Linked DNA regions of Xenopus tropicalis. The protein of the gene in region 4 interacts with the protein of the main gene of each other region in a pairwise test. Links are inferred from orthologs where the notes say so. Each region holds a gene or a part of one and is shown on either strand. Other genes may lie near its edges. The genes, in order: spry1, comp, chic2, otx1, vwc2l and spry2.

The links.
Region 1: the proteins of otx1 (region 4) and spry1 interact in binary tests that used the Homo sapiens proteins (3 or more experiments, as listed by UniProt). The two-hybrid records come from large-scale screens. The link is inferred for Xenopus tropicalis from reciprocal best matches to the Homo sapiens genes OTX1 and SPRY1.
Region 2: the proteins of otx1 (region 4) and comp interact in binary tests that used the Homo sapiens proteins (3 or more experiments, as listed by UniProt). The two-hybrid records come from large-scale screens. The link is inferred for Xenopus tropicalis from reciprocal best matches to the Homo sapiens genes OTX1 and COMP.
Region 3: the proteins of otx1 (region 4) and chic2 interact in binary tests that used the Homo sapiens proteins (3 or more experiments, as listed by UniProt). The two-hybrid records come from large-scale screens. The link is inferred for Xenopus tropicalis from reciprocal best matches to the Homo sapiens genes OTX1 and CHIC2.
Region 5: the proteins of otx1 (region 4) and vwc2l interact in binary tests that used the Homo sapiens proteins (3 or more experiments, as listed by UniProt). The two-hybrid records come from large-scale screens. The link is inferred for Xenopus tropicalis from reciprocal best matches to the Homo sapiens genes OTX1 and VWC2L.
Region 6: the proteins of otx1 (region 4) and spry2 interact in binary tests that used the Homo sapiens proteins (3 or more experiments, as listed by UniProt). The two-hybrid records come from large-scale screens. The link is inferred for Xenopus tropicalis from reciprocal best matches to the Homo sapiens genes OTX1 and SPRY2.

What each region holds. Positions count from the first base shown.
Region 1 is NC_030677.2:65,662,675-65,668,090, forward strand, and holds the start of spry1 (protein sprouty homolog 1), read right to left. Parts: upstream 3,721-5,416; 5' UTR 3,179-3,720; coding exon of another isoform or gene 3,165-3,178; intron 3,145-3,164; exon of another isoform or gene 2,184-3,144; intron 1,192-2,183; coding exon of another isoform or gene 1,137-1,191; coding exon 177-1,136; 3' UTR 1-176. UniProt on the Homo sapiens protein: Inhibits fibroblast growth factor (FGF)-induced retinal lens fiber differentiation, probably by inhibiting FGF-mediated phosphorylation of ERK1/2. Inhibits TGFB-induced epithelial-to-mesenchymal transition in lens epithelial cells.
Region 2 is NC_030677.2:107,117,627-107,123,061, reverse strand, and holds the start of comp (cartilage oligomeric matrix protein), read left to right. Parts: upstream 1-1,991; 5' UTR 1,992-2,045; coding exon 2,046-2,115; intron 2,116-5,435. UniProt on the Homo sapiens protein: Plays a role in the structural integrity of cartilage via its interaction with other extracellular matrix proteins such as the collagens and fibronectin.
Region 3 is NC_030677.2:39,930,208-39,935,094, forward strand, and holds part of chic2 (cysteine-rich hydrophobic domain-containing protein 2), read right to left. Parts: intron 2,397-4,887; coding exon 2,342-2,396; intron 2,254-2,341; coding exon 2,098-2,253; intron 1-2,097.
Region 4 is NC_030681.2:32,916,252-32,921,853, forward strand, and holds the start of otx1 (homeobox protein OTX1), read right to left. Parts: upstream 3,152-5,602; 5' UTR 3,047-3,151; intron 2,757-3,046; exon of another isoform or gene 2,658-2,756; intron 1,732-2,657; exon of another isoform or gene 1,495-1,731; intron 1,027-1,494; 5' UTR 897-1,026; coding exon 800-896; intron 1-799. UniProt on the Homo sapiens protein: Probably plays a role in the development of the brain and the sense organs. Can bind to the BCD target sequence (BTS): 5'-TCTAATCCC-3'.
Region 5 is NC_030685.2:58,211,468-58,216,950, forward strand, and holds the start of vwc2l (von Willebrand factor C domain-containing protein 2-like), read left to right. Parts: upstream 1-2,080; 5' UTR 2,081-4,010; intron 4,011-5,483. Other genes in the region: spag16 (sperm-associated antigen 16 protein), read left to right, coding at 1,745-1,920.
Region 6 is NC_030678.2:125,075,549-125,079,092, forward strand, and holds the end of spry2 (protein sprouty homolog 2), read left to right. Parts: intron 1-559; 5' UTR 560-613; coding exon 614-1,558; 3' UTR 1,559-2,164; downstream 2,165-3,544.

The DNA.
Region 1 (5,416 bases), on a different chromosome or scaffold from region 4:
GCCTGTGCACGAAAGTATCAGTTACAGTAATAGGTATTACTGTGTGATAAAGGCAGAGGTCGATATTAGAACATTATTAAGGGGAAAAGGATGTCACGCACACAAACACACACACAAAACACACACGCTCTCTTTTCCACATTGTGTAAGGAGAAGTGAAAAGCTCTCCTCTAAAGTCAGGAGGGTTTGCCCTGGCCCCGGGGAACGTCGTCCAGTTTGCAATATACTGTGTTTGAGTTCTTACATCGGCAGCCTGGGCGATTAACTCTGTCGTAACATTCTCTGCACAGTTTTAGACATCCCTTAGCAGGAGGGTAACAGAGCAAGCAGGGTAAGAAGAAGGACATTACCCCCATGCAGAGGTACCTAGACCAGCAATGTGACTGGGTACAAGAGCAAGGATTATCCGCATACGAGTCTCCCTCATCATCATTGGAACAGTGGTAGAAAGTTGCTTTGACCAGACACATGCAAGTGCTGTATTCCACCATGCTCTCTGCAGAGCACAGACATTGCCTGTTACAAGCCAGGCACGAAGGCAGGGTCCTTGGAGCAGTGCAGTCTCCACATTTACACTTCCCACACTGTTCACAGATAAACCGGTGTTGTGAATAGTCCATTTTTATTGAGCTCTTTAGGTCCTCAGCAGGCAAAGCACTTGCCTTAGGCTGCATTCGCACTATCCTTTCAGTCCTGTGACCAGAGCCTGATCTGGGTGGTGGGCATTGCCCCAAGAGTTCTTGCTCAGAGGAAGCACTATTTGTGCTACCAGAACTGGCGGCACTACCTGTGCTAGTAGACCTGCTGAGCCCAGGAGCCCTTCCATTAGGTGGGTGTCCCGTGTGAGCCCAGTGAGTGGGCCTGTGCTCATTGTTATTATTCACATTGATTGGTATGATTTCATGAGTCCGTTCCTGCTTAATGTGCCTTGGTACAGTTTTAGGTCCAGGCTTTTTTACCATGGATGGGCCTTCTGTGTACTCATTCCTGCTCCGAAGAGCTTTGATCTGATCCAAGGACAAGATAGCCGCTGGCTGAACTTCTCGTTCATATTCCAACCGTTGCCGGCTGTCCAAAGATGGCTGCTGTATCACAACTAATGAACCACCAATGCCATGTTGACTTTGTAGCTCCATCTGTAGTGATCTTGATTTCTGGCATTCAACGTGAACTTGGCATGCATCTGAAAACCTGCCGATCAAAACACACAACAAAAGATAAATAATTTAGAACGGAGTTTTGGAGATAATATAAGATACAAATTCAAATCATCACAGCAAAAAATGTCAGATGACAGTTACAAGATAAACTACAAGCAAGGCAGATCACTGCATTTCCCCCCCATATCTAATATACTCCCATTACAATTTAATAAATCATGTTTTGCCATGTATGAAAGTCATTCTGCTTCTGCATGATGCAACTGGTTCAAGAAAAACACAAAGCCTCCAGATACCGTAGCACTTCAAGAAGTCACAGAATGGATTTCTCGTTTAGCTACTATACATCTGAACAAAGTGATTACTTGGTAATGATAACCTATCCTATGACTGGAAATGATATATTTCCAAAAGAGAAGACTTTTACCCCAGTAATAACTTTAAAAGAAATTCACCATACTAAAAGGGCTTCAGTCTTTCAGCGTATAATTCTGATAAAGGGGCTCTATCTTAATTTATTCTTGTTTAAAGCAAATTTAACTCCCAGAGTTTTGCCATGGAGAAATAAATAAATGTGATGCCTCCCTGTCAAATAATATTTACCTAAGGGCAGTTCTTGGTGACCAAAACAAAGGAAGAAAGGAGAGAAATAAGAGACAAACTAACTAACTAATCAGTCTGTGCTGCAAGTTCTGACCTCCTACTTATCTGTTCCAGTGATTCCCTAGGCACAAGTTTTTTAAGGCAAGCTGAGAAAATGATCTTTAAAGCTGAATATATATTCCCAAGCCCAGATGAGTGGCAGATGCTAAAAAGAGGGGTGATACCAGCTGCACCCAACCTCCAGAGCCAGGCAGTGCAAAGGTGCATGCCCACACTGCCCTGGCACACTAACACATCCTACAGCCCATTGGTGTCACACCTCCAGCTGCACAAGGCAAGCAAGCTAAAACGCTCTCACTGAAGAAAAGAAAGAAAATCGCACGATCTGAGGCTTAGAAAATGCCTATAAAATAACTGTACCGTGTGTGCCAAATGGATAACTAATCGTGCGACAATCGGAAGAGACGGAATGGGCAAATTATGGAGATGGATTGGGGTGGGGAGGGCTACAGAGAGAGAATCCGAATGATCAGAGAGCGAGAGACGGGAAAGGAAGGAAAAAGTTATGAATGAAAAACAAACCGTGACTGTGAGAAGGAGGAGGAGGAGAGGCGCTGATTGCCGCAGGGGGGCGGACTTTCCGCACATTCCAACCGCAGCACCCTTTCCCATCGGCTCCAGCTCGGAGCCCCAGAACAAGGCACCCCTTACGGGTTTCAGCACCCCATACCAGGTGTGCCAGCGTTCCCACATAGAGATTTCTCTGCGAATCTGTTTTATCGCCTCTTCACTGCCCCTACACTCACTCTTCTGGCAGTAAAGTGGCATCGGATCGATTTAACCAATCAAAGAATTAACATAAATAGCCCCTACCCTACACTAGTCCGACTACCTGCACCTACCACTAGGTGTCCCCATCCTGCGTTTGAAAGAAGTAGGGGCACCTAGCTCTAGGTCTGCGTAAACAGTTTATTTACACGTTTCTGTGCCAGGGACACCCAACTCGAATTGAAGCAACTTCAACCCTGCAGGCCCCTACTCTGACCCATGGCCTGCTGATATGTTACACTGCAGCAATATGTAGGCGTAAAGCAGCTGGGGGGTATCAAAACTGCATCCCTCCAGCTGTTGTAGAACAACAACTGCAAGTGTGGGTTGTAGGTGCCATTCTGAGAGCTGCAGTTCAGCACAGCCGCAGGTTGGTTGTGCATCCTTCTGAAAAGATATTACACGATTGGATATTTGTATCCAAGGGGCACATAAGATAGTGGGTCATGGGGCAAATACACTCTATCCCTCACTTGGGCAAGCCTGCTGGCATATTGGGAGTTTCAGTAAAAGATCCTTGCCTTATGGCCTTGCACCAGGAGCAGAGTATTATCCAGATATACAGACACTTACCTCTGTGCAAGCATGCACCAAGCAATAACACGTCCAACTCCAGGCTGCGGCAAATCCGATCGGAACTGGGGGGCTTAAGCATGGGACATGTCTCCAGTAAATCCCCAGGGCTGGCACTACTGTATCTGATTGTAGCAGCTTTCCCTCCGGGGGCCACAGTAATTAGGGCCAGGGTAGTCCTTGGAAACAAATAAATCCACAAACGCCAAGGTGGGCAGGAAAGGCAATTGCACCTCTGTCAGGGGTAGGAGCGATCCAGCAGGCAGGCACCGTAGGCTCCGTGTTGCTGCATGCGATGGGAGGAGGCACAAGGACTACAACACTTTTTCCTTATAATAACTCCTTTATTTCAGCCACAAGTAAACTCCAGCGATTCTTTTCTTATCGCAAAACGCTAACGTTATCAAGAGTCCTTTAAACAGAAAGCCGCGGCCCCACGCATATATTCCTCGGGTCGGTGTGCGAGCGCCGCTTAAATCCTCAGCACGGATAGGAAATCCACATGAGAAGCGATGGGCAGAGAATAAATGGTGATGAATGAGGGTGTCACCCTCGCAGCGATCACTCACAGCTCCACAGGGAACAACCTTCCACGCCTTGCGCTCTCCTGCCTCTGTATGAATGGATTCCTGGAACGCTGGGTTTGTTCCACAGCGGCCTTCTCATTGGCTCTCCGGAATAGTGTAGGGGAAAAAACACCAAACCTTCAGCTGCCGTGGCGGCGCTGATTGGATTAGAAGTGGGAGGGGCGGGGCAGTGGCGGCTGCGGTAGCTCAGAGCGAAATCGCTGCAAGGTGGATTTTAGCGGAGATTTCACGTGCGTCAGGTCGCTGTCACTGTTGTTCACCCGGGCGAAAAATGTGCCCACTTATGGGGTGATGGGTAGGCTTTTAGATTGGAACTCGCCCCAAACAGCCCTGTAATGGCCCTGTCAGCAGTACTTTGCGTGACTTCGGTCATTTACTAACAGCGCAGGGTGGCACTTACAAATCAAGGGACCCAAGGTCTGCAGGAAGGCTGGGGCAATAACTTGAAGGGCAGTCAGTAATAGTACTCGAAGGTTCGTCATCCCTGAATTAATTTTTAATTAATTGTTTTTTTTTTCCCAGAGGCCCCTTGAGATTTTGGGGATCCAGTGCACATAGCATTTTCAAACTCAATAGGCTGTAGTTTGTAATTTAATTTCTATGAATTCTTTATTAGCTCCTGGAGTTTTATTCTCAAGAAACTGTAGCGCAATACCATTATAGATCGGCTTAGTGGCAGCAACGCATTTTGCGCCTCTGTGATAAGGCTGAATAAATGCAAAATTGCAGGAAAGTAGTAAGGGCTGTGTATAAGGTATATAAGGGCCGTGTATAAGGTATATAAGGGCCGTGCATAAGGTATATAAGGGCCGTGTATAAGGTATATAAGGGCCGTGCATAAGGTATATAAGGGCCGTGTATAAGGTATATAAGGGACGTGTATAAGGTATATAAGGGCCGTGTATAAGGTATATAAGGGCCGTGCATAAGGTATATAAGGGCTTTGTATAAGGTATATAAGGGACGTGTATAAGGTATATAAGGGCCGTGTATAAGGTATATAAGGGCTGTGTATAAGGTACATAAGGGCTGTGTATAGGGGCGCAGAGAGTTAATGAGAGGGGCGCGCATAGCTTGCGTGTGTACCCGGGGAGTGTTGGATGCGCAGCTCCGCGCTGATGTGCCTGCACTTGTCTCCTGTGTGATCTTGGCAGCTTCACGTTTATTTCCTTAGGGAAGGAAGAACTGTGACCTGTCCCCCCCAGGGGGGAGCTTGAGTTTCCTGCAAATACACATTCCTTCCTGGGATTTCATAGTAGTAGGTCCGTCCTACCATTGCCACTACCATCCCTCCGCCCATTCCCATTGGCATGACTGCTTTGATGTATGGCCAGGACTGAAAGGGTCAACGGATACAGTCTAACTACATTGTATTTCTAGAATTGTGTGTGTGTGTGTGTGTATGTATGTATGTATATAAATGTATAGCAGTGTTGTTAATGCAATACGGCTGCTTGTTGCAATTTATATAAGGCTAGTTAGTAGCAGTATCTTTCCCAGCAACTGTATTTGGTCATGGAACTAGTTGGTGATTTATAATATCCTTATAGCTTACAATAGGGGGTACATACTTTGTGTTGTATGTATGTATGTATGTATGCGTGTGTGTGTGTATATAGATATATAAAGTGAAATAAACACTTATATATATATATATATATATAT
Region 2 (5,435 bases), on a different chromosome or scaffold from region 4:
AATACTGCAGTAATTATTCTCTAATTTATTAGGAAATGGGGTTAACACCTAATCATGCATGGAAAAAAAAAATACCGTCAAATACCGTGACACCGATATAATTTTGAAAAATACCGTGATATAAATTTTTGGTCATACCGCCCAGCTCTAGTTCCAAGTATGTTATATACAGCTATATCTAGGGGTAAGCAGAATAGAAACACACTGCAACAATAGGGGGTGCTAAGCCTTTACCTCTTCTGTCTGCTTAAAGGGGATGTTCACCTTTAGCATGAATTTAAAGAGCCCTGTCAGAAAAAAAACATATAGATCATATTTATTATTTAAAATAGGCAGTTTTGTAGCTACAGACCAGGACCCGCACTGCTAAAACTCTTTCTCCTTTGCTCTCCTCTCTGTCTGGAAGGGATCACAGACTCCAACTTGCATTCTGCCCACAACAAGAACTTGACACTAAACTGGTTCTACCCATGCCTTCCCTCTCCTGCTTATTTACATATTTTAATACTATTGGCTTGTAAGGTTCAGCCAATCTGATCAATGAGATGCAAATGAAGGAGGAGAGCATGTGCAGTAACCAGTTCAGTATTAACTTCCTGTTTTGGACAGAATACAAGTTGGACTCGGTGAACATCCCCTTTAGTCCAGGCCACTGTCTCACCACCACCACAGGTCACTTTAACTCTATCGTCGGCCACCCCGTGCGTCATCACTGTGTGTGTACGGTGACAGGGAGGGCAAGGCGGCAGGCTGAGTTGCCTAGGGTGCCTGGCCGGCTTGGATGATATATGAGTTCCAAATATGCTGTATGAGTATGTGATTCAGAAGCACAAGAAAAAAAGGTTACTTTCAAGAATTCCCTATGCATAGATGGATCTTTTTCTACCATTTCACTCCAGTTAGATCAGGGGTGGGCAAACTACGGCCCGCGGGCCACATCCGGCCCCTTGGCCTTTTTAATCCGACCCACCGACGACGCCAAGTCTCATCACGCGAGACTTGGTGTCATTGGCGGGCCGGAATTAAAGAGACGAAGGGGGCGTAACGCTGGCCTGGCCATGCCCGCCCTGGCCCGGTCCGGGGGTGAGTAAATGTGGCCCGTGAGCCAAAAAGTTTGCCCACCCCTGAGTTAGATAGATGACCACAAACTATCCATTGAAATTTCTGTTGTGTTTTATCAAAACAAAGTTTGTTTTACACAACTGCTTTTTTAAACAAAATATAAAAAGTTATATTGGGTGCATTTCATCTTGGAAGAGGGCATATTTTCTGAATGCACTACATCATATGCAGGCACCGCCAGTTCCATCGCCTGTTCTAAATAAAAAGTGCCCATGCCACATTCTACAGACATTTCAAACTCCAAAACGTCAAAAATCATTACATTTTCAAAGCTGAGAATGTTATTATCTATTACATCAAGTGATATCAACTGCTAATGTTTAGAATGAAAACAAAATTTAGGGATGCAGAGAATCCACAATTTTGGGTTAAGACAAAATCCAAATCCAAAAAAGATTTAGCTCAAAGCCAAAACAAACTTAAATCATAATTTATATAGTTCTGTTTTTGAGTAAAGTAAAAAAGATATATCATTTGTGAACAAAAAATCAGCAATTCCATTAGTCCAGGGTTATAAAGTCACATGACTTTAAGGGCTCTACTCTACCCAGCTCATCTTTTGATGTACATCTGACATGCAAACCTATTTTGAAGGCCAAAGGCAAGTTATGGACCAAAGCAATCGATGTTTGCACTGAATAAGTTTAATATGAGAACAATCTTTTATTAGCATGTTATTTGTACAGTTTCTACAATTATACAGAGATAAGTTGTTAGAACCCCTGGAGATTATCTCAAACACTTTGGAAAAAGTAATATGAAGGGGAAAGAAAATCAAGGTTGGGTTAGTGTTTTATGTGTTGTAGCCAAAACTTGACTTCCATCCAAGAAATTTCAGCAGTGGAATGAAAGTAACTTCATAAACAGAAGCAAGGAGACTTTGGGCAGGAGTTTCAGTCACAGAGCGAAGAGAACATCACACCATGCTCTCAGTAGCGCTCCTCTCATCTTTCTGTATTTTCTTTGGATCATGCCAGCAGTTATCTGGAAGAGGTATGTGGCATACAATGCATTTAGCTAATAATAAATTGCACATAAAAAGATTACACAATATGACTTAATGAGTGTACAGAGAAGTAGTAATGCAAATGTTTAGATTTGTTGCTTTAATTAAAGTGTCTATAAAGCATATGATGCTTAAATATGTATAATTAAGTGTTAAACCACATTTTCTTTAATATATTTACTTATGTTAAGTAAGGATAAAAGCCTAATTTTGCAAGACTGAATAATATTTCTAAACTCTTTTCACGTCCACATTTATGACACCTTTAAAATGTAGACATAGATGCCATTATTAGCTTCACCACCAACTTTAAATCATGCTTAGCAGGGGATACATCCAAGATGTATAAATATATAAGGGAACAGTACAATATTAATATTCACAAGTAGATATTTCCAGAGGACACCAGGAAATCCCTTCATTAAAAGAAAAGAACAGTACATTTTAAGGTCCAAAGAAATGTTTTTACCCTGTGAATTTTTATTCAATGAAGTGGCTGTACTGGCAAATACATTAGGTAGCTTTGAAAGTCTGAATGCTCTTTAAGCAAATTTAAGACCACACAATTACAGGTATTTGTTCTTATACAAAGTTGATACAGGGGCTGGTCTGATTTTCCCTTTTAAATCATGGAGAAACTTTTCCTCCACTAGACATACTGGAGATGGTTTCAGGGAGGGCTGTTTTCACCTTCTTCCAAATCAGCTGTCAGTTAGGCAGGTAAAGGCTGGTGGACATCTGTCTCGTTTTTTAACTTCATCTGCTATGTAACAGGTTGCCCTCAACCTCAACCCCATAAAGTAATACAAAATCATCAAAAACAGGAAAATATTTGGAATAATAGCATTTTGTATCAAAAGTGAGTCTTTAGAAATGTATATATGTCTTTCTGTCCTGAGTGAACTTTTTGCCCCCTTTATTCTACCAAATACAATTATGAAAAACACAGTTCAGGCTTTTCCTCAGACAAAAAACACACAATTACATATTTCTAGAAAATGTGGCCTTGTGATGTTTGTGAATGCAGAATTAGAATTCAAACAATTTCTTTGTAATGGGTATACACAATAGGTGTATTCAGCCTTCAGTTAAATGTTCATAATACGAGTTCTCGCAGAGAGGGCTTTCCATCCTTAAGTTTCAGTTTGGGTTTTTGTTTGCATTATCTCTTAATCAATGTACTGTACAGCGCTACAAACTGTATTTATGCTTTATAAATGAACTGCAGCAATTCTACTGCCTGCATCAGATAAGGCAGGCACAGGTCAAGGACAATACATGTTAAAGAAGAACATGTTTTGCTATAAACATGGAGCCAAATGGCATGTCTCATAAATAATTGTCAGGTAGACTTTATATACTTTATAGTTTTATGAGATATATTTGATTTATTAGTGTGCTGCTTTAAACATTTAATTTCTTGCTGCAAAACTCCCTGTCATACTACTGGACAATGCACATTAAAGGAATACTGTCATGGGAAAATCAGTTTTTTTTTTTTCAAAATGCATTATTCAATAGAGCTTCTCCAGCAGAATCCTGCATTGAAATCTGCTTTTTAAAAGCACAAACAGGGTTTTCACACAGGGCTAGCCATATTCTTCATTTCTCAGGGTGCAACAGTCATGTGACTTGTGCTCTGAAATAATTCAATCACTCTTTACTATTGCGCTGCATGTTGGAGTGATATCACCCCTTCCTTTTAGTAGAACAATGGGAAGTTAGCAAGATTGCAGCTACCTAACACCTGTATTAGTAAAAGTGGTAGATATCAGAATAGCACTAAATAGTAAAAAATTCAAGTCCGGCTTGGGACTCCTCCAGTTACATAGGGGTAAAAGAAACAATAGGTTACCTGAAAGCAGTTCTAATGTGTAGCACTGGCTCTTTCTGAAAGCTCAGAATCAGGTACAATGCAATGAGATGGCACCAATATTATAACTAAACAAAATCAATGGGTGCAGGAAAGATCAAAATTGGTATGTGTATGGCCACCTTTAGGCATATACCTCAGGTCAGTACATTTTAAAGTAAAGAAAAGCATTGACCTGGGGTCCAGGGCTAAAGATTGTATTCACTGGAGAAGAAGTTTAGCACCCTAGAGTGAACTGCAGTTTCCTTGTGCTTTAATGAACTGCTGGGTTAATATTTCTATGTACAGGATTGCTTTGTAGCACCAGTATTTCATCATCTTTGAAGGCCATGAGATCAAAACATTTGCTTTGGATCCCAGCAATTACTGAATTATGTGTATACATACAAGACTAAATATGCGCTCCCCAACTGTTTGTGGGCACCAGTGTTAAAGGCGACACTGATGGGCACTGTTCTACATTCAAGTGGAAAAAAGCCCCTCATAGTAGACAGTATTTTCAGAAAGCCTACACTGACATTTCATTTGGCTTGGCATGAGATCTGCTTATGTCAGATGTGGCAGTTTAGTGGAAATGTGTAAATATAAAGTAAATATTAGAGGGTGGATTTTTATATAACCACCTTTAATGCTTAGGGTTTATGTTATGACTATGACTGTCCTTTTGAAAATAATTTACACCATCACCACACATTATTGCCAATGTGGGCTCCTGGTTAAAACTTAAATGATAAATAAAAGTCAAAGACTAATGGTTTCCATTAAAACTCCATTCATGGAAAACATTAACCACATTGTTTTTGAATACCCTATCACAAGTCACCTTCAATCATTCAAAAACTGCACTCAGTTTCCACTAAAACATCATGTAATGGCTTTCCAAAGGCATGACATAAGCAGAAAGCATATTTGAAATATATATTCCCTATAACAACTGCAAAAGAATGTCTATAATCAGGTCTTTACATATTTTTACCACATGTGCACCATAACAGGTGGATGCTTGACCTGCTATTTACTGCAGAGACATAAGGCGTTTTTTGGCAAGTCCCCTGCCTAAACTTGGCCTGGCATTAGTCTATACTGGGTTATTTAGAAGCTTCCATTATTTTAAATGGAATGGTATTTGAGTCCATGAAGTAAAGAGCTGACAATTCAGCTGTAACTTTATATTTTGGCCATCATTAAGAATACAAGCCCTTAAAGTGAATAGGAGGTCCATTTACATGTACTTGGCCATATAAGGAGCTAGCACATGGGGTCCTTATACCATTTTTATATGTCATTGTGTATAAGAGACATTATTGCAGTGTTGAAATAGTATACAAAATTCTCCAGAAGTGCCCTGCAGAGTCCTGTCAGTTGAGACATAGGTAATGATTTAGGGCAGGGGTCCCCAACCGCCCTTGTACCATTTTCTACCAAAAAAAAGAG
Region 3 (4,887 bases), on a different chromosome or scaffold from region 4:
TCTACTACACATTGCTTGAAAATTTTTCAGTGGTTTATAACTGTAATTTAAGTTAAAAGAAGGTTTGTTTATCCCTTTCTCTTCTCTAGGTCACATTCAACAATATAAAAAGAATTCAGTTATCCTCCAGGCCTATTAATCAAGCTTGCAACACAGGAGTTACTATGGGGGTCTAAGCCTGTTTTTGTATAGGGCTTTTATTAATGGTTTGGAGAAGTATAGATTTAAACTAGTTACTCACTTTATCCATTAAAAGACTATTCTTTTTTGTCTGTTGAATAGATACCCCCAATGGCCAGTGGACAGAAATCTCATTTAAAATTCATGGTTATACATATTTCATCTGAAGTGATTATCATTATCACATGCAAAGCAAATGCTTTCCTAACTCAAAGGCAAAAATAGTTCCCGGCTTTCCTTATGTGAAACTGTACGTCAAGTAGGCAAAGGGAAACTTAAAATTAACTTTTAGCACAGACCAATTCAATGCCCTTAGCAGTAGTGCTACTCAACAGTATGGAATTTTCTAAGAAATTATATGAAAAAAACCATAATAAAAAGACAAATATTAAGCTTTATACTGAATGCTAAGCTAGGGCCACTGACCTCGGAAAACAGCATTTAAAATTCCAGATTAAAGGGGCAATGAGCTGAAGGGCAAATAATTCAAAACATAAGAAATTACAAAAAAGAAGCCAAATACGAAGTTGCTTATCCCTCATGGTGATATGGTGGGATGTTTGATTTATTACACCCGCTGCCATGAAACCAATATGTTGATTAGGCACCTGGAAATGTAGAATCCATGATGCCCACTTATTAGTATCAGACTTCCTGCAACAAATTCTACATTTCTGGGTGGCTCTTTGGTTGCACTTAAAATGTTAAAGGGGAAGTATAACAAAAAGTCTTTATAGGTGAAGAAAAAAAAATGGTATTTACTGGGAGGTCAAACTGTTAAGACAAATGTGTGTGTATCTTACTTTTACTTTACAAAAAAAAATGCTAAAAATCTAATTATACAGCACAATATGGGCTTCTGAGTTTCTAATAGTTCCCATTTACTCTTGATTATAAGATAATAAAAGTTAAGTTTAACATAAATTTCTGGTTTAACATAACAGCAAGGTGGCTGACAGTTCTTATAAGCAGTATTCTCATACGTGAACTTCCTTGAATCTGTAATTATGTTTTAAACCATCTACCTTAGAGATTACCAGCCACATGGGAAAGCTTTGTAAAGAGTTAAGGCCTCCCTTAAGGGCCCTTACACATGGGCATTTTGCCCTGTGTTCCCCTGCATTCCACCACATATTGTTGCACAAGTGTTTAATAGCCTGGGGGCAGACAATAAATCATCTGGAAATGCTTCCTTATTTATTTAAATGGCAATTGCTTAGACCCACATGTAAAAGGAACAGCCATTTATACATAAGAGATATGGAGTGTTTTGTCCACCATACATTTTACCTGCCCAAACATGCAGCATCCATTGTCCCCTAAGAGAACACGTTTTAAGTGTTACAGAAAGTGAATAACACATTAGTGGAAAGCTAATTAAGTAAGGCTGCCAGAACTCTATATACCTAGTGGAAATCTTCATATGAGCCATATTGCATATAAGTTAATTCTCTTGAAATTATAAATAAGCAAAATGTATACTTCTACAAAGACCCAAATGGTGTTAGCTCTAGTAAAATTCAAAATAAGATGTGCACAATGGTTCGTAACCTTTTTTCCCAACCTCATTACAGGAATCATCTCTGCAGAAATGTAACACCTTTTAACTAAAAGCTATTTAACCCATTTACTAATTGTAATTAGGGGTAATATGCACTGCCTCTCAGTGGCACCACAAGCTAGGAGTATGAGATTGTAATAACAAATATAAAGAAAAGGAAAGTACATCAGCTATAAGCAAATTTTGGGTATGAAAGAAAATACATTGAAGATAGGTATGAAGAGAAATATGCCCTCTTTAAAAGCATATTACAACAAAGCCTTGTGGAATAAGAGAATTATTAATAAGAACACAGTAGCACATTACATGATTAAGCTGTAAGACAAAATCAAGAAGCCAAGAATTGGTCAACTTACTCTTTTACTTAGACAAACAACTGGCCACATACTGCAGCCCAATGTACAGCAACAGCAAAGGCATCCACAAAGTAACCAGCGGACATTAATTGGAAGATTCTTCTTAAGACAACTGTTGACTCTGTTAATACTAGATTTAAATTCTTCAGGTGCTACCTGGAAAGGGGGGAAAATGTTACTAAGTATGAGAACAGTATTAAAGAAAGCAAATTGTTTGTCTTTAAACTTTGTTTTTGACACATACCTTGCCAGTTAAGGAAGAAGGGAATTCTGCTTCAAACTTGTTGCTAAGACCAAAACTAAAGAAAAAAGAAAATCATTAGAGATCATACTGCTGTACTTCAACTAATACATTAAAATGTAAACATTTTAATTGTGGCCAAAATGTAAATACTGAAATCTGATTTCATGATTAAGATCATTACTTCGTCATCAGTGTTTAACTGGTTAACCATCATTTTTGTTATATGTTAAGGGGTAGGGTCATTACAGTTTTCGACCAATATTTTATACCATTTCATTTTTGCAAACCAAAGTGAACAGGGTGGTTATTTTCTGGATATTCAGGCTACCTCAACTTGGCATAAGGGCTCTGGCACGCAGGGAGATTAGTCGCCCGCAACAAATTTCCCCGAAATGCCATCCCACCGGCAGACAACATATTGATTAGATCCATGTGACACATAGCAGATAGAAGACTTTTTAAAAAAAGGGGAGTTGGTAAGCTTAACTACTCTGACAACTTTTCCCAAACTGTGGTGCTGCCTTCCTTTGGTGGTCAAAGTGTGCTTAGTGGGGCCAGCCTGAAAGCCAGTTAGCAACAGATTTGGGTATGCCTGGAAGTACAGCTTAGCGGTCAGTTATATTAATAGGAGGGCCTGGCCAAATACGCCCAACAACCTCTGCACTACAGGAATATGGTATGTCTAGAAACTATATTCTGATCAATAAAGTACAGGTATGGGATCAGTTATCCAGAAACCCGTTATCCAGAAAGTTCCTTATTATAGAAAGGCCATTTCCCATAGACTCCATTATAAGCAAATAATTCTAATTTTTAAAAATGATTTCTTTTTTCTCTTTAATAATAAAACAGTACCTTGTACTTGATCCCAACTAAGATATAATTAATCCTTATTGGAGGGAAAACAATCCTATTGGGTTTATTTAAAGCTTAAATTATTTTTAGTAGACTTAAGATATGGAGATCCAAGGTATGAAAAGACCCCTTATCCGGAAACCCCAGGTCCTGAGTATTCTGGATAACAGGTCCCATACCTGTACTTGCACTGCAGCAAAAATAGAAATGTATTACAAGGATGTACACTAATGTTTGGATGAGAGTCTTTTTTTGTCATCTAAGATATGTTTGATACATTAAGTCTAACAGCACGTCTGCCATTTGGTTGCCACCTGTATGTACTCTTGGGAAGAACAAGTTGAAAGAATGCGAGAAATAATTTGAAATACCTCCTCATTATAGACAATTGAGATAATGGCGCCTATGAGATGATCTTCCCAAGAAAGTATGCAGCATTAAAATGCCATCAGTGCTTTTAGCATAAAAATAATCTATGCACAAGTTTTCGTTAAAGTAAAAAAAAAAAAAAAAATTTATGGCTAGAAATAATATATATATATATATATATATATATATATATAATGAACTTACTGGACCAACCCAAAGGTTTAGCAGCCCTATAACAGTTATATTGTATGCCTTCAAGGTTATCCACAACTATTGAGTGCTATTCTGATATCTACCACTTTAAGCAATACAGGTGTCAGGAAGCTGCTATCTTGCTCCCTTCCCATTGTTCTGCTGATCGGCTGCTGGGAGGGGGTTATATCACTCCAACTTGCAGCTCAGCAGTAAAGTGTGACTGAAGTTTATCAGAGCACAGGTCACATGGCTGTGGCATTCTGGGAAATGAAGAACACCGCTAGCCCTATATGAAAATATCAAAAAAATCTGTGCTTTTAAAAAACAGTTTTCAATGCAGGATTCTGCTGGAGAGGCTCAATTAACTATTGCGTTTTGAAAAAAAACCAAAATTCTATATATATTATATATCTGTTCCATTGACGGCACTCACCACTCCAAAGCCAGACACCGGGTGCTCACCAAAAAATTATCCACATGAGGTCAGTTGAAAGCACTCAAGGCTCAATATACTTTAAAGTATCAAAAATAGATTTTATTGCTCCACACTCACATCGATGCGTTTCGATCCACAAGGGATCGTCGTCAGGATGATAACCAGAAGTGACCACGGTGTTTAAATAGTATATACAACCAATCATTTCACACAATCAATTAAACATGATAATATATCCAAATTTGTGCCTTCCCATTTAAAGGAGAACAAACAGTGCTCATTTCTTATCCAAATATATCTTTCCATTTAAAAAGAAAGTGATTAAAAAGTGAATAAATAGTGATTAAAACCATTTAAAAAGATCATGTATAGTTTCTCTTAACATCCATAATATCATAATATCCACCATTTATCTAGGGGTGTCTAGAAAAATTCCTACAGGGATTATTACTGGGAAATCTTCATTTTCTAAAGCCCCATGGGTCACCTATGCCATACAAGGTCCCACCATTAGATACTTATCTTTCCATCACCCACACTGGACTAAACACCCCCAATATTTATTTCAATCTCAAGAGGCCAGACATATCTGACCCAATCTCTTCCAATACAATGCTCATATTGAGCCTTCTCATGATCTGAATGTATTAATAGGGAACCCAATTCATCTCACAGAAAACATGACAATGAT
Region 4 (5,602 bases):
TCTCTGGGTGCCGAACAAATAAATACGAGGTTTCCTTGCACCACTAATTGTTATAAATGTTTATACATATATGTATAAAATATTATATTTTATAAAATCGAATAGAATTTGCGCTGCACTTCTGGGCGAACCTACAGGGAATATTCCTGCCATACAGCTGGAAGTCTGTAGTGCAACTGCAGCCCGCAACCACTCACTGGCACAGGATTCCCAGCACATATGGGCAGAAAACGTTTAAACAGGATTGTGCGATAAAGGAAAGGTTTGGGTGTTTGTTATGCGACTGAGACCTCCCCAATCACATCAGAAAGTGCAGTTTCCCGAGGAGCACCCCCAGGCCTTTCCTTGTGTGGCCACTGACTTCTGATCCTCTTACAATTGCCTGGAAGCCAAAGCTTTAGCCAAAATTAAGTGACTCTTCCGCGGCCTTTAATTAGCACTGGGCCCTGGTGGCTCTATGGAATTAGCATTGCACTGTGGGGAAATCCCGGGTACAGGGTTGTGTCTCTTCAATAAACACATCGCCCTTCTATACACTTCTTGCCCACAACCAGACCCGTACCTGCCTCCCCAAGTACCCCGATCCTCATTATTTACTGTGCCAATACAAACAGCTGCTACTAAATATCTGCAACTCTTACTAGCCATATTTCCACATTTGTTACAATATGCCAGATAAAGCCTGTAACAAATATACAGTCTAACAATTAATACAGTTGTAACTAATATACAGTCGGTAACAAAATATGCGACTTTTAGCCAGTTACATATTGTTGTCTGTCGATTTTTGGGGGCTTACCTGGGTATCCCACAGACGGATGCAATAAGTCCATAGCAGGCCCCGTTAGCCCCAAGCCATTCATGCCATAGGGGGGCTGTTTGAGGTATGACATCATGCTCAAGGCTGGACAGAAACCCCCCAAAGTATCCACAAAGGCAACTCCTTCCCAATCCCCCGACGGGAGACACAATCGGGTTCTCTCTTTCCTTCCCCGCACCAGGAGACTCTGCCGGGTTCTGCAGTAACTAAAACAGGAGATAAATCAGACGATTTCCTTTTGGTTAATACATTTACACGATGAATACAGTAAGTATAAATAATTCAGTAAAAATCGCTCAGCGCCCCGAAAGCTGCACAATTTACAACTCCTTTTATTTCTCACTGTACCTCAGATTAAAGTGAATATTGCGCTTTATTAGTTAAAAGTTAATAAATCGCACATAGCGCAGAGCTGCAGAGAGAACAGGCACACAAACAGAAACCCGTGCACCCAATGGATCTCTGTAGTTTGGCTCTTCGGCTTATTCTCGGCATATACCTTGATGGACATTCACCTCTAACAATCGCCTTTATATAAAATCGCAGAAAGCGGCGGGACAACAGACTAAACCATAGGTGCTGCTGTAAAAGGAGTTTTCAGACAAAAGAAATAATACCGATCGGATGGGATATTATTCATTATAATTATCAGACTGACTAACAGCAAGGCCTACTTGTGCTCACTGTGCGCAGTTCTATTCAGTCAGATGCAGAATCGCAGGAAAAAAGAAGCACACAAAGGTGTGAGCTGCCAAACTGATCAATTCCCAGTGCTGATTGCAGCGACTCATTATACATATGCGCAATTTTATGAGATTTAAGGCGGCCTAATTTGTTTTGTAAGCAAACTTTATTTTTTTGCAGATGGGATCTATTGATAGGCTAATGAAGTTTCTTTCTGCACAAGCTGGCCAATCTACAATCCCCCCCCCCAGTTAGCGCTAATTAATGGAGATCCCTGTACAAATACCTCATTAACATAACTTACTTGCACTGTGCGGCCGGGCAGCCCCAGAATGGGGGTAACTAGGAGGCGGCTGGGGGGTCACTACAATAACGCTTTCCCAGGTATATTGTACAACTTAATGTGTGCCGGGGCAAGAGGAGTGTAATACACACACGTTTATATACTGACACACAAACTTCTATTTGAATTAAAGCCATAAGTGACACAAACAGGGAGACAAGTCGCAACCCGCTAATAACACACAGGAATGGGACCAGAAATAAGTTTAGAGAATTGAGTGGAACCCAAGTAGGATAGAGTGCGCCACTTTGCGCCCAGTCACCTGGCCGCTGCCTCTGTACATCCCTGTGAGGTTGGCCGGGGGGGAGCCACAGGACTGGCCGGGGGGGAGCCACAGGACTGGCCGGGGGGGAGCCACAGGACTGGCCGGGGGGGAGCCACAGGACTGGCCGGGGGGGAGCCACAGGACTGGCCGGGGGGGAGCCACAGGACTGGCCGGGGGGGAGCCACAGGACAAGCAAGTGGAGGGCAGAGTTCGGCAGTGCCTGTCAGGCTGGTGCCAGCAGGGTTGGGTTCGGCCCATGGGGATGGGTTCTGGCAGCGCTGAGGTGCAGTTGTATAATCCCGGGAAGGAGGAGGAGACGGAAAACAAACAAACTTTGCAGGGGGAAGAGAGAACGATCCGCACAGCAAACTGCACATCCCACGATCTGATACAATTTAGGGGGAGAGTCAGGCCTCAGCCCAACGCTCAGCTCAGGCAAAGGCAAGAGTGGGAGCTGCCAGGCCGCCTGCCTTTATACACTCCCTGGCCCACAACCAGTCACAACCTGGGATTGATTAGATAAAATCCTTCTCAGAGGCACTTACAGAATCAGTCAAATTCTCCATTGCAGTAAAACTCTAAGCAGGGAAAGGGGCTGCTGGGAGCTGTAGGGAGAGGGGCTGCTGGGAGCTGTAGGGAAAGGGGCTGCTGGGAGCTGTAGGGAGAGGGGCTGCTGGGAGCTGTAGGGAGAGGGGCTGCTGGGAGCTGTAGGGAAAGGGGCTGCTGGGAGCTGTAGGGAAAGGGGCTGCTGGGAGCTGTAGGGAAAGGGGCTGCTGGGAGCTGTAGGGAAAGGCTCACTGGCGGCGCAGGTTGCGCTCCCACCCAGATGCCAAACTAAGTGAAGTTCTGGTGCCAAAAGGGCAGAGTAAAGGGTGAGGATTTGAGTGCAACGGGAGCCCAGCCCAGGGAAATGGGGATAAATCAAGTGATTTACCTGTCGGAAGAGTCGCACTGTCGCGCCGGGCGCTTTAGCTGATTGGAAATGAGAACTGATGAAGATTGATCACCCTTCTCTGGCCCTACCCCTTGTAAGTGAGCGATGGGCGGCTACGTAAGCGAACTCCCCGGCCAATCCGGCGCTGAGCATTGAAAGACCGACACGCTTCGTAGCCAATAACAAGGCAGACGAAGAGTTTTCTAACTCACGCCCCTTTGCCTTGCAGAGAACAAGCCCAGGCTCCTGGCTCTGAGCGGAGGGAAGAGCAGTGACACAGAGTAAAGCGGAGAGTGTTTGTTATTAGTACATAGATAAGAATTAACCAAACAAATCCCAGGCGCAAACTCTCTGCTGCTCTTCCTATCCAATTTATAATGATACTAATATTAATAACAGAAATCATGTGATGCTGATAACTTTTCCAGCTCTTTTGCCCCTATGCCCATAGCAAGAAGGTGTCGGGGTAGAAAGGGAACGTTTTTATGGCGATATTTTAAAGTTTGAAAATAATATATTTCATGCTAGAATTGATTTATGAGACGAATCTGAATTTCCTACTTGCTGTATTCTTGCTATTCCTTATCTGCTGGAAAACAAGGTTATTGGAGGCAAATGATTCTTGTTGTAAGTAATATGATTCGATCATTCCTGCGCCTGGTAATTGGGCAGATTTCTACATAAAATATTGCAATTCCCATCCAAACACAGAATTAGGTCGTGCGATATAGTAAATGCTACCGTGTTTCCTCAGATAACACTTATCTAATTATCTGTTATCTCACAAAATATATCCGCTACAAATTGAGATTCTAAACTATAATAAAAAGTGATCTTATTTGCAAATAAATCTTTTATCCATCGTTAGACAATGTGTTGCTTTCGTTTTGTTTTTACAAATCCCCAGCGACTGAATCGATACAAAATCGCAGGCACCTTTTTCTGTTACTTAAACTATTATTTATTATTCTTTTAAGGTAAAACGGTAGCTTCGCCATTTAGTCGCAGTTCAAATAATTAGCAACAAGTGCACCAGGAAGATTAATTTAGTACAAAGTCCGTTTGCCAGCTACAAATGAAATATGAATTATTCTTGTGGGTCATTTGATGAGTGCGACGTCGTGCTGCTGGAGTTTGGGGCCCAGGCTAAACCTTTATTTATTTACCTTTATTGTGCACAGAGAAAACAAGAGCTCCAAATGCTCCTCATAATATAAATAAATACTAAAAAAAACTAGGGGAAACTTTAAATCCAGTGACTGGCACAGGAAGGGTTAAAGGAAGCCTTTTGTTGTGTCCCCAAATATCTAAAAACCCCACATCTCGGGCTGATTGAGCAGAAGCTGAATGCGAGTTGATGTTCAAAGGGAGTCACCGGCACACAAGGAATATGACATTGTTTTGTGTGGGGACAGGGTCAGGGGGGACCCTTCAAAGGTGCAGTGGGGACTGGGGAGCGGATAATACAGTCTTTCTCAAGTTCCCCAAAGTCATACCCCTTTTATATCGCTATTCTTTGATTCCTACTCACTTACATTAAAGGCACCGCCGCCAATGACTCCTCATCAATCCGAAATTATTCAATTTATTAGATATTCATTAGAGTTTGCCAGTTCCAAAGTAAATGAGATGTGTACATTATATTTATTTGACACCGCAATTCTAAAATCAAATATTAAACGCGCACATATATACCTATATATAATAAAAACCTAATATATATAAATATCTCTGTATAAGTATCTGTATCTATATCCGCAGACAAGGCAGATATCAGGACGGCGTGTTTATGCCTGGGATCTTACCACTAGCTCTATACAAGTGAGCGGGTATCAAGTGGCAAAAGAACCTTTTTGTAATAAGAGTATTTTGTCTAATCCCAAATTGCAGGCGAATTTTCTTAATGCCTCAACCCATAAACCTCGGATTAGGGAAGTTTAAAAACGAGGGGGGAGCAGAAGGGAGAAACACAAAAGTTTAGTGTGTGTGAAGCAGTGCGAATTGTAGCAGGATTGGTGGCGGCTGCTTAGCTGGATACATAAGGGCTAGATTAATGCAGGACAAGGACACAGCAAAAGGGCATGTGCCTGCAATGAGTTGTGTATTTGTACAGTCTCCTTATGCAGCAGAAAAATGTTTATTCCCACTGCGCTATTTATGATGTGGGTTGGAAGCCATTGCGCCTTTGCGCATCTTCTCAGTGCAGAGATCCCGCTGGCGCTCGGAATTTTCTGGGAGATGATGATCCAGTAGATCGGCTCAGCTTCTCATCTGCAGGCATGAGCGATTCTCAAAAATCTGCAGCTCTCCCCAGGGGCTCTTTCATGTGCCTGGGCCTGGGATGCGGATCATGGCTCATGAAGTTTCCAAATTGAAGGGGCAGAGCCCCCGACTTTCTTTGCTTTTGTCCTTGTTGGTTGGGGGCTATTTATGCGACACATAATTGTGTTTGTGAGCTCCAGCAGAGAGAAAGGTAAGGGACCTGCTTCTGCGACTCAGCTGGGAGTGGGGATGCAGCAGGGAGCCGGACCCAGGAGGGAGAGGTGCATGGATTCA
Region 5 (5,483 bases), on a different chromosome or scaffold from region 4:
AAGGTGCTAGAATGGTGATCTGAGAGACTAGGCCACTACACATAAGGTATGAGGTGCGCATCCCAGAGTAAAGCACACAAAGGGTTAAACCTCATGTATCTTTGATACATTCTTCTATCCCTCCACTGTGTGTTTTCCCAGATAACTCAAACAAAACAATCCTGACATCGACATGGTCTGATGGACTTGAAGGACAATTGACTGAGAATTGAGATTGAAAAGCGCAATTCTGATAAAGCTGCAAACTAAAAGCACATGGAACAACCCTCTTGATGTACGTTCTCAAATAAGATCAGATTGGATTTCTATTAGCTTTTCCCCCTTAATCTTCGCTGACTATCCAGTCAGGGGGGACTTTGCGTGTTTTTATGAGGTCACCGCTGCAGAACTGATTGAAACCAAGATATGAGTCAGTAGGGCATTGTTGGGTTATTCCATCGGAAAATGTTGAGTTTTTTTATTTTATTAATCAGGAATACTAACATATTCTTAGCAGGTTCTTTGTGCACAACCATGAAATGTTGGTGTTTATAATGCTGCACTGGAAGGCAGATGATCAAAATGCTGCACAACTATTGGATCCATCAAGTTTAGGGCCATTTTTGTCTTTTCCATCACCTGGACGTTTGCTATATGGGCTGCTCTTACATGCTCTCTTCCTGTTTGGCTGCTTCCCCTGAGAATTCAGAAACTGCCAAAACCTTGCAGGAGCCCCATTATGTTTTCTGGCCACTTGGGGCACTTTAAGTACAACCAGCATTAAAATACCTTAGAAATGAACTGCTGGAACAGATACAGTGAATCAGTGAATGCTGCCATTTTTACTCTCTCTATTCCCTCTCTATTCCCTCTCTATTCAGAGTCCTTGGAACCTATTCTTTCTCTATTCAGAGTCCTTGGGATCTGAGGTTTATTGAATATGGCTTTCTGTAATCTGTAATTAGTTTTCTAAAAATAATGTAGGGTTTAAATAAACCCAATATGATTGTTTTTACACCATTATGAATTCTTGCTGTTTATTTACAATCAAGTGCAAGCTATTATGTTTGTTTAATTATTACAGAGAACAATGGAAATCATCTTTAGAAATTAGAATTATATCCTTAAAATTGAGTCTGGGAGATGGACTTCCATTATTCAGAGCTGTATGGATAACAGATCCCATACATACATATACTGTATATCATATAGGTGTTTATGTGGCACAGACATAACTAGTAGCCCCCATTAGTCCAGTCTATAACTTAAAAAAAAAAGATAGGACTTATGAAAAATATGTATCTTGTACTAAATAATCTGGATATGTTTTGTCTTTACTGGTAACATTTAACCCTTAATAATGAAGCACAAACTCATTTACTATCATGAAGTCAATCTGAAGGGGTTAACATATATCAAACCATTGCTTTAAAACCAAATTTGATCATTTATAACTACCTCAATTGCTAATTATTTAGAATGGGTTAAAGAATGGGTTAAACGTAGTAGTTGAGCCCTAAAGTATTTTTGCTTCCAAGGGTTAATTGCACCAAACAGGTAAAAGCTGTCCTTGGCTAGGATTTATGAGTTTATTTGCTGGCTTGGACAAGGCATCTTATTTAAATTGATTTACCACGATTGCATTGAAGTTATTTCCAATAAAAGCATTAATTCAGTGCACATCATCAGCGGAGCAATCATTATTCCCAGCAGCAGCAGCAGCCTCAGCACGAAGCTCACCTCTCCGCTCTCCTTCTCTCCGCAGGTCAGTCGGTTTCCCTCGCTAGCAATGACGGCTCAGTCAAGCTGTTGGCTCTTCCATCCGGGCAGCTGGAGAGCTTGGACGGACATGAGGATGACGTTCAGTGTGTAATATTCAGCCACAATGGGGATTACTTGATCTCTGGGGGCTCCGACGGTACAGTCCGAATCTGGTCCTGAAGAAGACCCGTATGAAGTAGTTTGCGCCCAGAAAGCAACAAAATTAATTTCATGGAACGAATATTTCTTGAGCCTGAATAAATATTTTGCAGTTGGAGTGGCCTGTGCTTTATTTTAATATATGTATCCATTACAGCAATTAAGTGCAGCATTCTCTGACACCTTTCCATGCTTTACTACACGTTGTATTGCAATTGCCGCACCTTAACGCTATCATAACGCGAGTGATGCTTTTAGCAATGATATCACAGATTGGAGGATGATTATGGATGAACTAAGTCTGGAAACTGGGCGTTCCTATGGTATCAAAGAGGAATTCTCAGCATCTTCTCCTTAGTCCCCAGAGGTATACTAAGCCCTTAAACAGTATTTAAACCATATCAGTAAAGTGCCGGCGGCTTCAGTAAATACTCTGACCTTGGAATAGCATAATAATAAACGCTGGGTAATGAATTCTCCACGGCCTTTCGTGTAGCCAAAATGCAGGCTCTGGCTCTAAGGGCTTTTCATATTCAAGGGCAAATGTTTCTGTCGGTATACCCACTTGCAGAGCAAAGCACTAAAATAATACATTTACATTGGTGACTAAAATGGCAATAGGGGTCAATGGCTCATGAACTATTAATAGATCATTGAAAAAAACTGCACAAATAATTTTATGTACTACCTGAATTTAGAGCAGGGCTCTAAAATGTCGGTTCTATACATCAGTGTGTATAAGTTCCGGACCTATTTACTATGGCCTGTTTAAACTGACGCTATAAACAAGTGAGTGTTGTAAATAAGGTCTAACTTGGGACACTCAAGCTGCTGTTCAATTCAAAATCCCAGCATCCCCAGCGACCTTTATCTACTAGTGGATGATGCCAGCAGTAGTTGAGTGGATACTAGTTAAGCACCGTCACTATTATAGCCAACGTTACACAAATAGTTAACTGAGGGGAAGGGGGAAGAGTCTGCCCCAGCCCACGTTAGGAGATCCTGTTCTTCATTCCATCAGCAGTCTCCCCTAAACGCCTCTCTTTTGCTGGGGGCTGGAGCAGTGCTGCGTCCTGCCGTGCAGTGGAGGGAACGTTGCGCTGCTGCTGTAGTTGTGAGTCGCTGTTGCAGGGGCGCTGTGTGCCATTGTGCTGTGCGACTCTCCCTGGGAACAGCTCGGAGCCGCTGTCCGTGGTGCTGAACGCAGTTGGTGCCGCGTCTCGATGGGCAGCGCTCAGTGCGACTGAGATCAGTTCTTTGCGGAGCTCCGAGGCGCTGTCTGTGGTGCTGAACAGCCTGTGGCATAAGGCGCATTGCTGCTGTCCGTGGTGCGGAATAGAGAGCACTATGTCCGTGGTGCTACAGGCAAGCGCTGTGTAGATGAACAGCATTGATGTGTCCAAGGAGCATCAGATCTCCTCTTGCTGGTGAAGCTAGTTCGGAACTAACCATTCTGGGGAGTTATTTGCCCCTTCTTATTATCATCTCCATGTGGTGCTGAACTGACTATGGTTCTGAAGCAAAATGTTGGTTCTATTTATTGTCTTTCCACACTGCAGGGTGATCGCCCGCCGTGTCCTGAGATGTAAAAAGTTATGAATTTGCCTTCCTTTCTTTCCTCTGGCTACTTTTGTGACTGCAGCCTCCCACTGAAGCAACATATTGCCATGGTACGGAGGGTGTTCCAGACTGGGCATAGGCTGAGCTTCATGCTGTTGCTGTTTGTGCTGCTGAAACCATAATATACACATGCACATACACACACACCGCCTCCTCAGCTGCCACTGACAGAGGGGAACCCAAGCACACTGGATATATTGCAGTTGGGACTCCAGTGCAACTACCAGAAGGTCACAATGAGCTGTGGATTAATCTCAGTGTGTTTGGGGGTTATTGCTGCATATCAGTAAACCAATCTGTGCAGAGTTAGGAAACCTGGTGGCAATACGGTATCCTTACCAAAGCTCCTGTGCCATGGATGGGAAACTGAAAGGACGCTCTTTTAATTCGTCCTAAAATGGGCCCTTCTGACACCTAGGATGGGATAAATATGGACTGTGTTCTACTGGCACAAGGTTGTCCTGCTAATCTTCAGGATTAACCCCTTTGAGGTAAGGGAAGTGCTAATGTTTGCAATCAGTCATTGCACCTCTCAATGTAACAACCTGCCTGCTGGAGTAATTATATCTGTACCTCCACATCATCAAAATGCTTTTGTATCCATTTACAGCTGGTTATATACATATTCACAGAATTAAAATCAGTCTTTAACTTACCAAGACCCAACACACAGGTTATCTATTTCTCCAACATCCCAGTTCCATACCCCAGATTGTAAGCTCTTGTGAACAGGGCCCTCATTACTTCTCCAGCTATTTCACTACAAGCCCCCATACATCTGATCTTGTACATATTCACTCTAAAGAAGGTTGTAATATATACGTTACTTTGGCAGCAGCTATAATGCATGCTGGTTGTATGCTTCCCGTGCCGGTTTCTATGAATAATAAAGTATAGGTAACCTGTAGCATTCTTAGGGAGGATTATAGAAGCTGATTCAAATGATAAGGAATTTCCAGGGCTCCCAGGCACACAGCTTTCATTTCAATACCCTGTAAAATGCAGAGGCACCTTACAAATCACTTAACAAAATTGCTTAATGCCAAACATGCCGCTGTAATATCTACAGTCTCCTCTCTGTGAAGGCAACAAGAAAACTGCAGTGTCAGTGTAGCATTCATTTTAGCCAGCCATGCGGCTGTTGCTCTCAGTTTTACACCTTATCTATAAGCCTGGCTCAGGGAAGATTTAAAACTGTTCCTATTTTTCCTGACCTGTCCATCTATTAAAAGGTTGATTTTCATTTGCAACCAGACTGAGCCATTCACACCCAGTATTTACAGTTCTATGCAGCATGCCAGAATGTGTGTTTGTGAGGCAGGGAGCATGGGGTGGGGGATCAGTTTGTTGCAGCAACCATTAACCCTTTGGAAACTTGTAATAAAGCTGTTTGTAATTGTGTCATTCATCATACAAGCTGTATATTTATATACAAGCAGGATGTGGGCTTTGTTGCACTATTTTAAGTTGACTCTGCCTTTTACTCTTTTAAACACAGTCCTTATGGGTTTTGCATTGAGCCACTGCAATACTTATGTGGAACAGTGGATTTACCAGAGGGGACTCTCTCTGCATTCAGTGATACAACACCCTAAACAGTTACACTTGAGCCAATGTGAAACTTTTCTACTTCTATTTTCTACTTAAAAAAAAAATAAAAATCTAGAATCATTCTAAACTCTGTAATACTCTGGGTCGGATAGTTAGGTCTTATTAAGTCACTTAGTCTTGCACCATGTGACACCATGAGGATGAATCTCATTAAGTGCAAGCTTAGTAAATAGGCCCCACTTATTTGTTTGTAAAAAAAAAAAAAACAATTTTGTGGCACACTCATCATTGCTATTTAATATCTGAATACATGCCTTGGATATCAGTGGAAAAATCATGTTGCCCCATTGCTGTGTTCTGCTGTATTTGCACTTCTCATTGATTATGCAACATGCCCTTCAGCTATTACATGC
Region 6 (3,544 bases), on a different chromosome or scaffold from region 4:
AATAGTAAAGTGTCCTGCCCATTGTAATTCTTAGTGTAGTGACCTGAAAGAAATGTATGAAGGGAGTGTAGTCAAAATGCACGTGTTCCTTGCAGCTGGTTTCCTGTTATTTTAATTGCTGTGTATGCTGTCCTTTTTAAGAAGAACGTGATTTCCACGCACTTGCTGTAACATGCAGTGTTCTTAAGATATGAGAGTTGCCTTCAGTACTTGTCTGTCATGCTTTTAGTAAAATGTAGCTGGAACTTTGCACGCTCACGAAGTAGACTATTACTTATACAACTGCTTTATATTCATGGGGTTGTACTACAGCTACTTAGTAATTCACTATGATGCAACTTGCCCTGGAAGAGTAAAATGCAGGTGATAGGTTCAGAACATCAACTTTTATCTAATGCGTCTATATTTTTTTTGTGTATATATTAAGTATATTTATTAATAAAGCTTAGAAGTATTATGTAAATTCGATTTTGAAACATGATATGTAACTTATTTGTGTATTAAATGCAGCATTTTAACCTTCTGTTTACTTATATATTTTTTTTTTTTCCTCTTTCAGCAGGATTTCAGATGTGTTCTCAGCCCACAGGTGTGAAAACTCTTCAGAGTACTGATGGAGACGAGAGTACAAAATGGCAACGTATCCCAGCCTTTGCTCCCGGCTCGGCGTGACAGTGAAAGATTACATAGTGATGCTGACCCACGTGAAATTCTGACACAACAAGTTCATGTTTTGTCTTTGGAACAAATAAGAGCCATAAGAAACACTAATGAATACACAGAAGGGCCTACAGTGGCTCCACGCCCTGTGATTAAATCTGCTCCACGACAGACTACGCCACACAAAAATGAAAGAATACATGTGGTAAATGAGCAGCGACCTTTTGTCAGGAGTCCACTTCCACCAATGCATTCCTTGTCTCAGGCACCTTTGTCACGATCAGTCGGTACAGTCACTTCATCTTGCCGGAGCAATACGAGGACAAGTAGCAGTTCTACAGAGCAAAGGCTTCTTGTGCCACCATTTACATCTTCAGGGTTGGTTGCAGACCGAATAATAAGAGTACAACCCAAACCTGAGCTGAAATCAGACATTTTAAAGCCCTCTAGTAAAGAGGAATTGGGCTTACATTCATTAAGGTGTGAGGACTGTGGGAAATGTAAGTGCCAAGAATGCACTTATCCAAGGACTCTCCCATCTTGTTGGATTTGTGACAAGCAGTGCCTTTGCTCAGCCCAGGAAGTTGTTGACTATGGAACCTGTGCTTGCTGTGTGAAGTGCCTATTCTATCACTGTTCAAATGATGACGAGGATAATTGTGCAGACAACCCATGTTCTTGCAGTCAGTCCCACTGCTGCACTCGATGGTCTGCCATTGGTGTCATGGCCTTGTTCTTGCCTTGTTTGTGGTGTTACCTTCCAGCCAAGGGTTGCCTTAAATTGTGCCAGGGCTGTTACGACCGCACAAATAGACCCGGATGTCGCTGCAAAAGATCAAACACAGTTTGCCTTAAAGTTCCACACCTTCAGCCTAGGAACTTAGAAAAACCAACATAGCACAGGTGAACGGACGTTTATAAAGAACATAACTTCCTTTTAACACTCAAATGCAACCATCTTGTTACATTTAGGAAAAAAAGCTTTGGGATAGGATTGCCTGTTTGCAGTGAAATACTTATGCATCAACGGATTTAGGCTTAATAGAGAACCTCTAATAAAGCTTACAGTAGGATTTGGTGTTCTGTGACGACTATTGTGTACGCTATTGCAGCACAGACACTCCTATGTAACATTGTATTGTTTGTGAATAGTACTTGGAACATTTGTAAAATTTGCAAATGGCTTTTTTTTGTCAGAGATATTATGTTATATTTTTGTACATAAACCATATTTACAACTGTGAAAAAAGTGCCATTTTTTGATGGCATGGTCACAAAATTTACTAATGTACATTCAAAAGAATGTGAATCAATCAGTATGGTTAGATTGTCCTTCGCTTTCTGGAACTTTTAATATTACCAGACTTCTATTCTTTGGATCTTATGTATATTGTACAGTTACACTGTAAGATTCAGCCTTTATTTTCTAATGTTTCAATATTGTTTAGTGTAAAGTATATTTATTTGAAGTTTTATTATTTTATAAAGAGAAATATTTATTTTATGAAGCATCTTACAAATGTCTCCCCTTTTTATGATGTCAGTTTCTGCAAATTGGGGGTGACTGAGACATATGTTCACTATAAAATAGAAATATATTAACGTCTGAAAACAAAATGTGGCCAGTACTCTTTCTTCTTTAGACTGAAACAGTCGGGTGACTTTCTGTAAGACCTAAATTAAAAGGTATAATATTGGACCAAGCATTGCATTACACACAGGTTTTATTGACATTGGGTCGCTGATAAAAACATGGCCCCCTGTTAGGCCAGATGCATTGGGAGTATCAAAAACAACATAAATATGAAAGCAGATGACCACATCTGAGAATAAGTGCACTCTGTTAGCATTTTGGTCAGTGTAAGCTGGCTTTAAAAATTAGCTTGCTAGCAGACAGTCATACAAGTAGTGGCAAAAAAATCACCTGTGTGACATTGTGCTTAGGCCTTATGCATTTACCAGCTACTACAAATTGTTCAGGTAGAATTGACAGCAACACTCAACATACTCATTCAGGCAGTACCCTTGGCATAGAATTGGACATGAACACAATGCCCACAAAAAGCTGTTGTGGATCCAAATATTCCAGAGAAAATGGGTTTGCATAAAACATGAGACCTTAGTTTCATAATGCAGTATATTTCATAACCAGTGATATTTCCCATGAATTATAGCTGGAAAACTAGATTTTTCATTGGTGTATTTGCGTTTACCCTCCCACTCATTCAGTGTAGTTGTGCTGAGGCTAATAGGTTTTTAACATCACATTCAATAAAAAATATTTCAGCACTCTAAGCTGAAGGAGTTGGCGTAGTGTGATTTGATTAGCGTTAGGTTGCAATTTCTTGGTATATTTCAATGAGAAGTTTTTGTCTTTGCACTTATGTGGAGAAGAGGAAAGGAAAGCAATATTTTGGACAAAAATCTGCCATTTACCAAGCCATGCAAAGGCGTGACATTTTGCTAATGGTAAGTAACCGCTTAGGAATGTTACCAAAGTGTGAGCACGTTCAGAGCACCAGCACAAAGGGCAACATCACACAACAGGCGAAAGTAGAGTCCCAAAGTGCCCGCAGTGGCTATCACTTGGTGTGTTTATTCAAATGCTTGCATGGCATTTGTCTATTGAAAACATGGCAGTCTGCAATTCCAGAAGGAAGTCTCCACACAAACATTTGCACGTCTTCTTTCAGCCAATTAAAACAGTAATTTCCATAGGCTGAAAAGCAATAGGGAGGTCTTGTTATGTTGCATGGCAGGGGAAGGTCCTGGGATTTTCGTTTTTCCTTCCAATGCTGTAGCTAAGTTGTCACTCTAGCTATTTATATCTGTGTGCAATATATCTAACTGAGCTGGGTCAAGAGATTTATCAACAGGTTTATTC